Linked DNA regions of Saccharomyces cerevisiae S288C. Changing the gene in region 1 together with any one later gene gives a genetic interaction. Each region holds a gene or a part of one and is shown on either strand. Other genes may lie near its edges.

The links.
Region 2: of MLH3 (region 1) and ECM11, changing one suppresses a phenotype caused by changing the other (phenotypic suppression), as found in Saccharomyces cerevisiae (one study listed by BioGRID).

What each region holds. Positions count from the first base shown.
Region 1 is NC_001148.4:235,888-245,292, forward strand, and holds MLH3 (mismatch repair protein MLH3), read right to left. Parts: upstream 5,611-9,405; coding exon 3,463-5,610; downstream 1-3,462. Other genes in the region: REV3 (DNA-directed DNA polymerase), read right to left, coding at 1-1,220; ATG29 (Atg29p), read left to right, coding at 1,451-2,092; SET6 (Set6p), read right to left, coding at 2,069-3,190; SVS1 (Svs1p), read right to left, coding at 6,031-6,813; YPL162C (uncharacterized protein), read right to left, coding at 7,319-8,140; BEM4 (Bem4p), read right to left, coding at 8,432-9,405. UniProt on the Saccharomyces cerevisiae protein: Involved in DNA mismatch repair (MMR), correcting insertion-deletion loops (IDLs) resulting from DNA replication, DNA damage or from recombination events between non-identical sequences during meiosis.
Region 2 is NC_001136.10:1,349,101-1,355,133, reverse strand, and holds ECM11 (Ecm11p), read right to left. Parts: upstream 1,410-6,033; coding exon 501-1,409; downstream 1-500. Other genes in the region: 40S ribosomal protein eS17 RPS17B, read left to right, coding at 1-305; YDR444W (putative hydrolase), read right to left, coding at 2,781-4,844; SSN2 (Ssn2p), read left to right, coding at 5,196-6,033. UniProt on the Saccharomyces cerevisiae protein: May be involved in cell wall organization and biogenesis.

The DNA of each region.
Region 1 (9,405 bases):
ATACTATTATTGTTTATTTCAATCTGTGGAAGCCTTGGCCACAATTGCGGTAATGCTTCATAGGGCGTATTTATGGCTGAGAATTTTTGATTCTTATCTATAAAGTTCTCAAAATTTGGTATTTGACCATCAAAAGTACTTGTTTTATGTTGTGCTTTCTTATAAAACGCTTCGAACTCTCCAGAAGATTGCCATTGATGACCACTCACATGGCGCTTTGTTTCTGGTGGTTCTTTATATTCCTTCAAGGACAACTCCTCTCGTTGCATGGTAAGTTCATTTATCATGTCCCTAGCAGAGGATACATATGGTTTGACAGGTATGTCAGAAATATCTCCCAGTTTTTCCAAAAAGTCGTGATGTATATCTCTATGCTGTAACTTTTCTCTATTTTTGATGAATTGCGGTAGTATATCTATCTCAATCAATCCATTTCCAACCCGTGGAAAATCCCTTCTACTGAGTACGTTACACTTGAAGTCACAAAATCGATCTAGTAACAACTGAAGATCATCATTAATTGTCAGCTTATCTATGTCCAGTATACTATTTAAAACAGGAGAGCGAAAATAACACCTATCCACGTTTATCCATGAACATCCAAATAAGTTAAAATCTGCGGTCCATTGTAGCAAGTAAGGAATATGTGATTCATAAATTTCGAATTTCTTTCCGAAAATCTTGCCATCTCTAATCAATTCCGAAATCCTACTTAGACAAGAAGGATTAAGCAAAGAAATTTTGTAAAACAGATTCCAGCCAACGTGGTAACCATAAAATGGTATACCCTTTACAACAGAGACATCAGCGACAAAATTGAGATTTCCAAGTTTGTCGCCGGCTAAATCGTGTTTATCATCTTTTTTCCTTTTAAAGGATGCCCTAATTTTTACTTCCAGCGTTTTATGAACTTGGGCACATCTTTGGTGTCTCAATGTACTCGTGTCAGTTATTTGTCCATCATACTTGATGAACATGTAAGGTAGAATGCCATGGACGTGGCACAATACTTGATGCCCTGTGGGTAAAGCACCAAACACCCTGATGTTTGGGACCTGTGAAAACTGGTTTAAGGGCAGGCTTTCACCGTGCGATGGGTCCAAAAAGGTGGGTTTTGACATATAGTAGTCTTGATTATTTAGCTGGATTCTAAAATAGTCTGATTTAGAGGATGATCTAACCGTATCGCTCTGTATTGTGTCGTTCGACTCCCTCGACATTTCCAAACATTTTATTTCGCCACAACTTGTAGTTTTGTATTGACTCAAATACTTTCTCTTGTTTTGTGCTTCTATTACAGAGATGGCTTTTTTCTTCAAGTACACTATTTCTAGACGCACTGCACTCGTCAAAAAAATGATTCAAGGTGAAAATAAAGGGGTGTTAGTGAATACTTATCAAGAAGAGACATACATAATTGTACTGCTGTGCATTTTCCTACTTGACTTTCATGATTATGAATAGTACAAACACAGTTGTATATATCAAAGTTAAGGGTAGGAGACCACAGGGATTCTTGGATCCTCCCAAATTTGAGTGGAATGGAACAAAGGAGCGACAGCTTTGGACAATGGTATCAAATTTGAATTATTCACAAGATCAAATAGATTGGCAGAATTTATCAAAAATATTTGAAACGCCTGAATTTTTTCTTAAAAAGAGAACATATAAATTATTTGCTGAACACTTAGAGCTTTTACAACTACAATTGGAGAAAAAAAGAGATCTTGAGAAGTATTCAAATGATCAAGTGAATGAAGGGATGTCTGATTTAATACATAAATATACCCCTACTTTACAAAATGATAATCTATTAAATGTATCCGCAAGCCCACTGACCACGGAAAGACAGGATTCTGAAGAAGTTGAGACAGAAGTAACAAATGAGGCGTTACAACATTTGCAAACTTCCAAAATTTTGAACATTCACAAGAAAACATCGGATAGTGAGAATAAGCCTAATGACAAATTGGATAAGGATGGTATTAATAAAGAAATGGAGTGCGGTAGTTCAGATGACGATTTATCTTCGAGCTTAAGTGTTAGTAAATCTGCGTTGGAAGAAGCGCTAATGGACAGATTGCAATTCTGATTTACATCTTTCACAAGCACAATCAAAAAACCAACTGTCGGCCAAAAAGGCCCGGCGTTTTACTGTTGGTAAGTCCAGTACCCCGGAATAATCGATACAGATCTGCTCATCCTTTTTTATATCTCTATTCATAGTGAATAGCATTGAATTACCTTTACGATATTTCGTTATATTGGGGTTACAAGAGTGGTTGAAATAGGAGGCTTCTGGAAATACCCAGTATCCAAAATATTCTCTGCTGTCTGAGGCTTCGCCCTCTTGCCATAAACCAAAAGCATTCCCATATTCAGTACCTAATATATGTCTCAATAGCGGTATGGAGAGCATTCTATGCAAATGTGAAGGTAATAGAATATAGAGTGTTTGAAATACTAATTTTTGAAAGTGCAGTAAGACAGGAAATTTAGATATTTTGCTAAGCTCATTCGATTGTAACATATTGAAAGCTCGGTATGTTATGCACTGAGGATCCATATATTTAAGATTAAACAAACTCTCGCACACAAACCTAATGCAGCAATATTCATCTTCGCAAGTGGGTGGTAATTGATTTATTCTCTTCGCAGATTTCATGTTGTTGATGCGCGGTATCCATTTACTTTCAATCTCATCCCATGAAGACTGTATGACATTTTCCGAAATTAAGATAGAGTTTAATTTTTCCTCCTGTTCAGAGGTATAATTATATCTTTTCAGCATGCTTGGAAAATGATGCAGTAATATCTCATAACATTCAATTAATTCAATGATATTTGGTATTTGAAGATAAGAAGTTCTGCAATGTTCTGAACAGAACCACAGTCCAGCGCCCAGAAACTTCTTAGGGTTAATTTGGTAGTGTGCATTACAAACCAAATCTCTCAGGTAATCGTAGTTTAGTTTGTACTTCATAGTTTTCGCATTAGCGTATGCGAAACAATTGTGACAAACTTCCTTCCTGAACTCATAGGAAATAGATGTTCCTGTAAAATTACTGACTTGCAAGACTGTTGTCCCTTTAGGAATATTACCATTACTGAAACAAGCCCTACCGCCCCATTTAGTTTGCCTAACCTGGAAAAATGGGGAAATTTCATGTACGTCTCCATCAATAGTCATTTTTAAATTTTAGGTTATTTTGTGTTTGCATATATAAATGGTATATATATATATATATATATTCATATAAATCTAGGGCTACATTTATAATATCAGAGATACATAAAACGGTAATGCAACAGTGGAGCAGTATTGTATCGCACGTTTCTTTTTTGTTTTTGTTTTTTAAATTTTTCCAGGTTTTGACAACGTGATGAGGTAATCTTCTGTTTTGCATATCCGCGCAATTTAAAATGCAGGCGACAAACCTTGTTCCAGGATTAAGGTTCTCTTTACTTCAATTCTGCAATGGGTACCATAGAAGGTCTCCCGTGGGCGCATTCGAATGGGTTATGGCATCGCGAGAGCTTGCTAATTAAAATTATGCACTCTTGCCGGGTTAATTCATCTCCAAACATAACAGCAGATCTGCATGCCTTGCTGTTAAGAATTTCATGAAAGACCGTTGGAACGCAGCTTGAGTACTTCCACCAATATAATTTATCAACCGAAGTGTAGTTTTCGAAATGGGATAAATCCATTGGAAGTTTTTTGAAATCCTTCAGGTCATGAGCATGTTGCAGCAAGACCATTTTTAAGTAGTCTTTATCCCCGTTATATTTGGAAGTTAACATCTCAGGCAGTGTTTTAATTTCCAAAAGTGAGGTTTCCATTGTTCCCTCAATTGTTTCATAGCCAATTCCCCACTTTTTAAATTCACTTTGATAATGCTTAAATAAGTCAGCCTCAGTACGATCAACTTCAATGCAACAATCCTTGAGGTCTCGTGCAACAAAAGTTCCGGTTACAACTTCTGTCAACAGGCTATAAAATAGCTCTTCTAGTCTTATCCTCTCATCGCAAGCATGTTGATCAACTAGAACTAATAGTGGGCAATTATGAATAGATTGGTCTAAACAACGTATGAGAATAAATTTTTTATCTACTTGATTAATCACTTCATATTTTGCCAGGACAGATCTTGATATTGAAAAATCTGTTATGGTTTTTCCTATACTGTCATAATCTTCTGTAAAACCACTATCGTAGGGCCTGGAAGAGAGTTTATTCCGTAACCTTGATTTCTGACCGTCGATTCTTATATTCTTGATTTTTTCGTAGTTTATTGTACTATTGTTTATTCTACATCCATTGACAGCGGGTTTTCCTATGTATGAATTAATGCGTGCAATCTTCATTTTTGAATTTAATACTTGATTACGTTTACTGATTTGGATTCGACTATCAGGCAATGTTGCCGTCTTCTGTGAACAATTGACTATTTCGAAAGATGAATCTGATTTATCAGGCGTTAAGTATCCTTGAAATGTCAGAAAGGAGCGAATGGTCTTAACGATCAATGGTTCAATGGTACGTATATGGGAAGGCTTAACAATTTTCTTTGCTGGATCTTGTAACAGGTCATCGATAGTTTGGGGGCACCGAACATCAAGGATGAAGACGGGATGTGATCGATACGGTTTTCCCACGCTTTTAGTTTTGAGTAAACTCATGCCTTTCTCCCCGAAATCTTGTGCTTGGAATAAAGAATCGACGTATCCTTGAAAGGCGCTGTCCGCATAACGTCTGCCATTGATATATATAAATTGAAGATCCTTCAATCCAACGGGCATCTTCGATATGATCCCTTCAATCTGATATTCATTAAACTTCAAGGAAACTTTCTTAAGCATATCCGGTGGTATTATTGCCCCAAACACATTTCTCAGTACTTGAGACATTTGCTGGTGCTTTGTTAACCCCTCAGTTATGTTCTTTGAGCGGAAAAGAACTTCTGTATTGATTCTGAGTTTGTCTGTATATTGTACGTTGAGTGAAATCATCGGGTGCATTACCAGTATCTGTAGCATATCTGCCTTTATTGTGTTAAAAGTCTTGAAAGGGGGTTCTTCCTTTAGTATTCTGCGCCGGACAGGTAAATTATACAGCATATCTTCAACAATAACAACAGTACCAGACTTTGTTCGGCTCCAAGGACAAATTTTCCAAAAAGGATCTATTGGGAGTATGGTATTCTCACTCAACATGACGCTTTTGGATGGAAATTTTCTCATCCATGCAGAGTTGTAATCCTTTTTCTTGGAACAAACAAACAGATTAGAGACATTAGAAATGCTATATAGGGCGTCTCCTCTGTAACCGTAGGTTTTCATCGTTACTAAATCATTCATCTTTCGTATTTTGGAAGTATAATTTTGTGTGGCCAATATATTTAGGTCACTTCGAGTCAAACCAATACCATCATCGTAAACTGCAAAGCTCAAATTAGGGAGGTCGATCATGACGTCGATAGTGGTAGCGTGTGCATCTACAGAATTTTGAACTATTTCTCTAACCGCTGATGCTAGCGATACCGTGCATGCCTGAGATTTAAGTCTTTCAGAAACATCAGAATCTAATTTCCTAATATGCTGGCTCATTTTCTTTTTGAGTTGACGAGTTCACGTTCATTCTTCCTTGAAAGCCTCGCTGGTTTATGTATCGGTGGTTGAAATCATCATTCGATGTTTATTGCAAACTATTGATCTTTTTTTCCTGCCCCTTCTCGTGGCGCTCGCAAATAAACGCAAACTAAATATAAGCGTACAAACAGACAGATTTTGTGCTACTTATTGATTATTTAGAAAAGCTACTATTGTTCTTGAAAGTCATAATAGAACTACTTATATATGTATCAATGGGGTTGAATTTGCGCTTTATGTATTTTTTAAGGAATGATATGAAAGTTGTCTCTAGTCTATTTATTGAATCGTAAATCAAAAAATACTAGTGATCCCATATAGGATAACTAGTAAAGGTTTCGTTAAAAGTAGCTTTTTTTCTCGATTCAACGTCACGCATTAAATGTGGGTACCGTTGTTAGCAGAACCTGTAACATTACTAGCATCGGCAGTTATAGTAACGTATTTAACAACAGGCTCCGCCGTAGTAGTAACCACTTCGGTAACTGCAGCAGCTGTAACTGTAACATACTTGGTAGACGCACTACAGTACTGTTCATCGGCGGATGTGGTTTGAATCATCTGAGATTGATGTTCAGCAGAGACTAACTTTTCTAAGGCATCAACATTGGAGGCGGCGTCCCCAGCTGTGGATGTCGCTATTGTATTACTAGCTTGGGAATTATATACAGTAACCAATAAGGTTGAGGTCAAAGTAGAGGTGTATGTACTGCCCGATTCGGTTACTGTAGAAGCAATTTCTGTGACGCTCGTGGAAATCTGTTCAGCCTTCTCGTTGGCGGATTCCGTAGATAGAGTTATTATGTAAGTAGAGGTCAGAGTAGACGTGTAGGTGGTGTCTGTGTCAGAATAGGTGGTGGTGTATTCATTTGTGGACGTAGTTAGGCTAGGCGTGCTTGCAGTAGGTGTACTTGCAGTAGGTGTACTAATAATAGCAGCTGATTGGGAGGTAGTGAACCAGTAGGTAGAGTAAAAAGTAGATGTTATGTAGAAGGTGGTTGTTTCATCGCTGTACGTTAATGTTGTCTCTTGAGGTGAAACAGAGTATGTTGGAGTTAATGTCTTCGTGTATGGTGTATAGCTCGTAGTTTCATTGACATATAAGGCAGAAGCGAAGTTGGAGGTTACCAGTAGTAAACTACACAATATTTTGAAAATCATTGCGATATATATTCTAATTTGTTGGTTGTGTTAGACAACTAGTGTACAAGAAAGAGACTAGATGGCCATAACGGATCTTGATAATTCATTTTCTTACGTCTTTTAAATACACTCCCTCTCCATCACATACAGATTGATTTAATGTCTACCTCTTCTAAGCCATCTGAAATTCTTGGGTCTTTCTCTGTTTACGGTTATTTGAAACACGAAATTACTTAAGAACACGAAATGCCAATTATTAGCGTCGCGAATTGAATATCCAATGCGGCGGGAAAATCAAAAAACGAAAATAGAATAGGAAAAACTGCCGTAGTTATAGAATCAAACCTGAGCGCCAGTTTCATTCTTCTAGCGGAGAATGCTTTCCCAAACAATAACCCACAGATTATGTGTTGAAGAGTCTAGGCTTGTGGAAATTGAAATCAAAATGTTTGTTCCCTTTAAAAAAAATCAATTAAGCAAGGAAAGGAAATAAACAGTGCATGCTTTCCTTATCCTTGGAATACTATATTATGCTACCATAGCTGGAAATGTTGTTATCCTTGTTAGGCACTTCATTTGAGACTTCCGATAAATCAGGAATTTCGTCATTTAGGAATGTGTTCGTTTCAAAATTCTCTGCATTGGTTATCGTTAGGCTCTCAGAATGTAACCTGATGACATTGTCGACACAAAAGTACTGGAAGCAATTCAGTAAGATAGGAAAGACAAACATGACCAGAAAAACTTGAAAGTTTGGCCATGAATCTGACCAGCCAAGGATAAGATCGGCGAACCAGTATGCCAAGTCTTCTAAGTAGTTTAGTATTAGAAACACGCAGAACTTCATCACGCCCAGCCCAACAATGAATATAAGCAGCTGTTTCACGAAGGCAGAGAATAAGGGTTTTCTGGGGTGGCTCCCAACGGTTTTAGATGGAAAATAATTACCACTTTCAATGTTTTGGAAGTGTAAGGATTTTAGCACTTTTTCAATTATGTATAAGCACAACCAAAGAATGGGAATCCCAACAGTAGTATCCAGGAGTAAGTTAAGAAAATACCAATCGCATTGATCCTCATCATCATTGCCTTTTGCAGTGATTGCGAAGAGTGACCTTCGTCTTTTCTTCAGTATGCTGATGCCTAGATTCAAAAAATGGATTCCAAGAGAGCCGATGATTTGTTTTCCAATGTCATAACTCCACACAATCATTTTTCTCCTTGGATGCTCATAGTTTCTTTTCACCAATAACACAATCACGGCTGTCATACCCATCAATGTCTGGACAAAAAGAGACACGGGCCCCAACAACTGGCAAGTGTCTTTCCCATTAGAAACATACATATTCTTTTCGATTAATTGGCAGTTCTGCTGAACTTGTGTGACTGTTGGGCCTCCTGCTAATATGTATTAGAACTTTTTCTGCTTAGTACATTCAAGTACTTTTGTGCAGATGTTCGCATCTGCAATAAACTTTTAATCTCCCTTCCACTCTCATCGTCTACAAACCCATACACCATTTGTCAAGCACATGCTTAATCCAACAATATTCAAGATTTAATATTTATATATATATATATATATATACATGCAGAGGGAACGTTTTCTCCCCTCGTAGGTAAGGCGATTACGTGTCTAAAAGAACGATTTTGCAAGCGCTTCTAAATTTTGTTCCTCTGGCGTTAAGCATTTCGTATTTTTCACAATGTTTAGTATTATGCCCGCTATAAATTTCCCATTGTTGAAACAACTCTCGCTACCCTTATCTTTATTTTCTTTAAATGAAAGTATGGTCTCTAATATCAGGGTTAACTTTTGAATGTAATCCTTGAATAGTATATTTTCAATCGGATTCACGTCAGCTGTTACACTTGAATCTTTTAAATAAATTCCAACCGTTTTTGTGATATGAAATAAATCTGAGATGCTTAGTTGTTCTGCTTGACCTAAATTTTGGAATTTGAAGATCGAATCCCATAGGGATGTAATAGCTTCTTTAGGAAGGGCTTTCTTGGACACAAGCAGCTTATCCATCGCAATACAGGACGTTAACGTTCCATGCTCTGCTATAAAAGAGATAATTGTTGGATCACTGCTTATTGAATTGTGTATTTTTGAACTTGGAAGCACCGTTAAAGTTTTGTTTAATAAATTTGTTAATAACGATCTCAGGTTGTTATAATATTTAGTTTGCTCGTGACATCTTCTCATAATCTGAAATAGGGTGAAGAGGTCCTTGATATCTAGCCACATGGTATTTTCCAGATTTAACAGCTTCCTCAGTAAATCTAGGAATCCTTGATATTGTAGTGGGTCTTGTAGCAAGCTACCAACTTGAATCAATTCACTAAGAGATATGAGCTTCAGTAGCGCGACAGCGTCACTTTTGGATGCAACTGAGTTACATAATATCATCAAAGCTGCGGCTAGGGCATAACTACTTGCGGAACTCTTAATAGTTTCGATACATAATGATTGCTCTCGTTTGTTAGAGTTTGTTAGGTTGGCGGAGATGTTGCCTGCGCACGATATGAGTCTTCTCATTACAATTAGCTTATTATTGAAGGTTTTTGATTCTAAGCAAACTAAGGACAATATTAAATTTTTTT
Region 2 (6,033 bases), on another chromosome or scaffold:
ATGAAATTGCAACTATCCAATCCAAGAGATTGAGAAACAAGATTGCTGGTTACACTACTCATTTGATGAAAAGAATCCAAAAGGGTCCAGTTAGAGGTATTTCTTTCAAATTGCAAGAAGAAGAAAGAGAAAGAAAGGATCAATACGTCCCAGAAGTCTCTGCTTTGGACTTGTCTCGTTCTAACGGTGTTTTGAACGTTGACAACCAAACCTCTGACTTGGTTAAATCTTTGGGTTTGAAGTTGCCATTATCTGTCATCAACGTTTCCGCTCAAAGAGACAGACGTTACAGAAAGAGAAACTAAAAAGCATGAATTGATATAGTTATTATCATGTCGTCTGTTTTACTCCATTTCATTGAGGACTCTCCTTATGTATAGTTAAATAATTTCAATATCATCTAAAATATGAAAGATATGATTCATTATTAGGGATGTATTCTCTTAATTATAAGCATTTTGTTACTGAATATAGCACCTTTGATCAACTTTATGAAGCGTTTATATAATATTGAGAATTTCATTAGCCAAAGTTTTAACTTTCTTAATTTTTCCTTCTAGTTGTTGACCCTGTTCTTCTAGGGCATCTGCCCTATCATTGATTACAGAAATAATACCCTTAAATTTGTAGCTTAGTTCTATTCGTTTCTTGATTATTTCTTGGTAGAGCTGGAACTGTTGGTCAATAATTTCCTGGCCCTTGTTAGTCCACTCCTCCAATGTCGAATCAGCTACGCTGATAAAATATTCTTGATCTTCTTCTGCTACATTTGACGGTAGCATACTCGAGTAGTCCTGAAGGCACGTGTCTAAAGGATCGGGCTTTTCAAAAAGGTAATTTCTTGTTTTTTGGTAACTTCCAGGATTTTCTATGGGTTCTTGCGATTTTTCCTTAGCTGGGGATGATGTATTTTCGCCATTTAGTGAGAGTTTATATTCTGAGGAATTAATCTCTGTGACGGAAGAAAGCGTCTTTGACTTTTTCTGAATATAAGGCTTCTCGTCTCTGGAAAGATCAAAGCTATCACATTTTTCTGATGCTGCTTTCTCTTTCAGGGCCCTTTTTTTCGAAATTGGTGTCAGCGGCTGAAACGCTGTATGTTCTGTTTTTATACCTGGTGTATCATTATAGGCCACAATATTTTCTTTTTTTTTGCTCTCAGAAGGTTTAACAATAAGGGAAGGATTTAATAAAAAGGCAGAGAGGTCTTGTTTATCTGTGTTATTGATTTTCTTTTCCGGTGCTTTGGCGGCAAGTTTATGCTTATTTGGTCCTGAGCGGCTATTTATACTCGAAGGTGGTTTATTATTTTGTTTTTTTCTGTGGGCGTCATCTTTACTTAAAGATTCTTTTGATGGTGGAGAATATAATGTCACTTCTGTTGTTGGTTCTGTCTTTATAACAGTCATTTGAGGATGTTCTTTTGTTTGCTTTTTAGTTGTATACTATGTGAGGATCTATGCACATTTGTATTTTTTATATTCTTTTTTTCGCGGATAATTACTTCTTGAAAAAACTTGACATCATAACGTTCATAAATATTAATTTGGAAAAAAACGGAATTTACCTGCAGCACTAAGTGAGCAGTGTCGATGACGACAATAGCGATAGAGATGCAAATCTGGATCTCTATCAGCTTCCAAAAGGAAGCTTAGCCATTAGATCGGTACATCACCCGTGCCAAAATATGTGATGTATTGCGTGGTTGCTGACCACATCTTCTCAAAGCAGTGGATGGTGAGTAAAAACGCTAATACTTATAAAGTGAAAGCATATAACTTATATATGTATCATTCGGACATTACCACGAAAACAGTCATGAAATCAAGATCTACGGTTGTGGGAAAAGTAAAATTAGCCAACAGAGGTCGTGCTGTCCCAGCCAGTCTAACGTTTAAGGACTAATTATTCCATTGTTGTCAAGGGTTATAATATTATATATACATAGTATACAAGCAATTCTCCTTGAGGATATAGAAATTCACAAAAGGGAGTCGATAGTTCTCCATAATAATGTTACTTCATCTTCCTTATATACTTTGTCATTCATTATTCTATCGTATTATCAATACTGGCATTTCAGCTTCACTAAATTTTCATGACTGTTTCTTAATCTTTATACCATTTTCTTAAACCGCATATGATAATATACTAGTAATGTAGAGAATGTGGATTTTGATGTAATTGTTGGGATTCCATTGTGATTAAGGCTATAATATTAGGTATGTAGATATACTAGAAGTTCTCCTCGAGGATTTAGGAATCCATAAAAGGGAATCTGCAATTCTACACAATTCTATAAATATTATTATCATCGTTTTATATGTTAATATTCATTGATCCTATTACATTATCAATCCTTGCGTTTCAGCTTCCACTAATTTAGATGACTATTTCTCATCATTTGCGTCATCTTCTAACACCGTATATGATAATATACTAGTAACGTAAATACTAGTTAGTAGATGATAGTTGATTTTTATTCCAACAAGTAACATGAATAAAACTAAACAGATGATATTTTAAAGTTTCATTGCAACAAACATGTTTAATGTCCTATTACTTCCAAAATTAATTAGTTTTTCCAACGAAATAGCCTTGTTGGCGCAATCGGTAGCGCGTATGACTCTTAATCATAAGGTTAGGGGTTCGAGCCCCCTACAGGGCTATCTTTTTTTTAAACAACATCCACACTTTATTGTGGTCATTGTGATATTCTTAAGAAACTTTTATTTCATCTATGATATTTTTTTTTACGTATACATTATAAATCATCAAACTCATGTGGCATTCTCCGCGCCCTTTGATATTTCCCCCTCGTTATACTCATTCGACCGGTCCGCTTGCGATGACTGGTTTGGCTCATCTTTTGGCTCATTTGCATCTTCAGCCAGCTCGCTACAAACCTTGGATCCGAAATGGTGCTCAACCATGTGTTCCACAGCAACATAGCCGTATAAATTAACAAATCTTCTTCTTACTACGATATTGTTATGGGAATCAGGCTGGATCTGCACTAATACTTTTCTCCAAGTCATCGTTTCTTGCCATTCTCTAGCAATGCGCTCTTGAATCCTGTTGACACTCTCATTAGGATATATAAGCTTCTTAACGATAGGCCTATTCTCATAATGCGGCGGAGGTAATTCTTCCGGGTGATAAAGTTTATCATGAATGACTTCATCTTTCCTTACAGCCGGGTTTTTGATATACTCCTGATCTGGTATGGCAGCTGTCAATACCGATAATGCAGACAATACAGTATTGGCTTCTTTTGGAGGTTCGAACTTTTGACCATCAAGAAATACTCCTTGTTCATTATCCGAATCTGAGTTGGCTTCATTAGTTTGTCCTCTCTTATATTTATTTATTTTACTTCCGTGGATAACGGCCTGAGGTAAAGTCCACTGCAACGTCGCTTTTTTGTTTGGACTTTCTGCAGGAATCTCCCCGACGTTGTTACCATTTTCGTTTGAAGGTGATGATGCTCCACTACTCTCTGGGCTATCGGAGGACACAAACTCGCTTGAAGTTGGAGAGTTCTTATTTTTTTTCCTAATTTTCTGGACTTTGTGTATGCTTCGCCAATCCAGATACAAAAGTGCAGCAGTTCGTAATGGAACAATACCATCATCCATGACATTGGCATATATCGTTCTCCTCTTAAAAGACTCAAATACTTTTTTAGCCGGCGCCTGTGGAAGAATTTCTAATATGTACTTGGAATGTTCTGGGTACACTTCATCGTCTGCATACAACCCATCTTTGGACGTTAACGGTGTATATTTTAAATTCAAGTCCCTTCCTGTCAAACCAAGCGCGCCCATATCCAGTGGAACAGACAAATAAAAGGGGAAGTCGCCAATAACACCGATGAAAGGACTAGCTAACGTAATAAAATTAACGGGTTTAACACCTTTAACTGCATCAAAAAAATCTGGTCTTTTAATACTTATGTAACGCACCGCCATGGATTGAGTTGGCCCTCCTAGGGAATGGCCAATGAATGATATCCTGTCTACTTTGTACTTTTTATTCAACTTATCAACAGTCTCAAGCACATACTTTCCAACTCTAACGCCCAAGCAATGTATACCGTGACCTGATTTCCCGACGTTGCCCATAAAACCTCGAACAATTATATTCGGATTAATAGACTCATCCATAGGAAACGTCATTTCTTCAATTTTATCTTTCATATATAGCATATCACACCCGATATTAGAAAATATACCATGTGTCATAATAACGAGATGTACAGGCTTTTCTGGAAATTTTGGTGGTAAATCCCAAAGGGTTTCAGTATCCCACATCTCTAAAGAGACACCTTCAATACTCTTAAAGAGCCCATTCGATTTCTTGACCACCTTCCTTGTAGTCCCTATCCTAAACGAAAATTCCAGCTTCGGAATTGTGGTTACCGCCAACTGCGAAATTATATCTATTGTCCATGAATAAAGAGAAGTGTCGCCAACTCTAGAATTCTCATTCAATAATATTTTTACTTTAAATCTTTCGTCCGGCTTTAGATTTTCAACAAATGGAATAATTTCCTTCCCTGGAAACTTGCGATTCTCATTATAGTTATGCGGCCTAACATCGATGTAAAAAGAATATGGCCCCGTCAAATAAAGCGGTCGCAGAAGCGCGCTTTCCTCGTTCTTGATCCTCAAGAATAGATGCGATACATCTAGCCCTTGTTCCTTAATTACATCTTTGTTCACGGAAAACTTGTAGCGATATAACTCACCTATTCTTAATCTCTTCCGCTCATCAACCAATAAGGTACCTCCGGTTTCATTTATCTCGAGCGAATTTTTCATTCGGTTGATTTTGTAAGGCATTAAGGGATCGAACCAAAATGGAGCAATTCTTTTATAATAAGAAGATGAATAACAGCCGAGTAAGTGATTCTCCTCCGCATTTCCTGCTGTTCATTGTTTTATCATACTGAATAAACAATCCTTAGAAAATAGCATCGATATATTCGCGCTTAACAAAGCGAAGAATTGAAACATTTTTTCAGGTGGAGGGACCGGGTAGTGCCGGATCAAGTAGTGTAGTATTTATTGTAGTACACTCTTACAACAACCCTTTAAGACGAATGGTGTGAAATCGGAAATTACTTTGTTGAAGTAAGGTGTAACTATATTTTAAGAACGTTTAAGCTGGATATCAAGATCTGAGGAGGTAGTATGAGTTCTGACGCTTCCACGTACAGACTTGAGGATGTTTTATCCAGCTTCTATAGAGTGGAGAAAATCAAAAAGATCAACTATCATCAGTACATTTCTAAAGCCCAAAACGATCAATGGTCTATCCAAATGGAATTCATGCTACGGAAGCAGGATCCAAAGACTCTAGTTGCGCTGCTTTCAAGGGATTTATGGTGTTTCAGTATAAATGATGATCCGGTACCGACACCTCCTGCGATAGAACATAAACCAGTGAGCCCAGATAAAATCGGAACTTTCACTGCCGATTATTCAAAGCCAAACTTACCGCCACACTATGCTCTTTTTTTAAAAGCTTTAAGAAGGAAAATTTACATTAATTTGGCATTAGGTTCACACAATAAGCTAATACAATTTGGGAATGCCTGCATATCATTAAGCGGAGTGCCAAATTATCTCGTACAGCTAGAACCACACCTTTTTGTAAACGGAGATCTCACAGTGTCGTTATGTGCCAAGAACATGGGATTAGTACCAATGAAGGAGGAAAATTTGGAAGAATCTTTCCTTTCAAAGCATGCGCTTTATTTAGCACCATCTGGAATAAGGATGCATTTGGCCCCTGCTTCCAAGCAAGGATACTTGATAACGCCACCAAAACATACAGAACTTCTCTTGACGACGTTAAGTGTATCTCATGGTATAAACTTACAAAATAAAAAAAATTTGAAATGGGTTGCTGTTGTTCCTGACTTAGGACATCTCAACGGCCACACACCTACTATAGCTTCGTATTTAACTCCCTTACTTGAAGCAAAGAAGCTAGTATGGCCGCTGCATTTAATCTTCGCCCAACCAG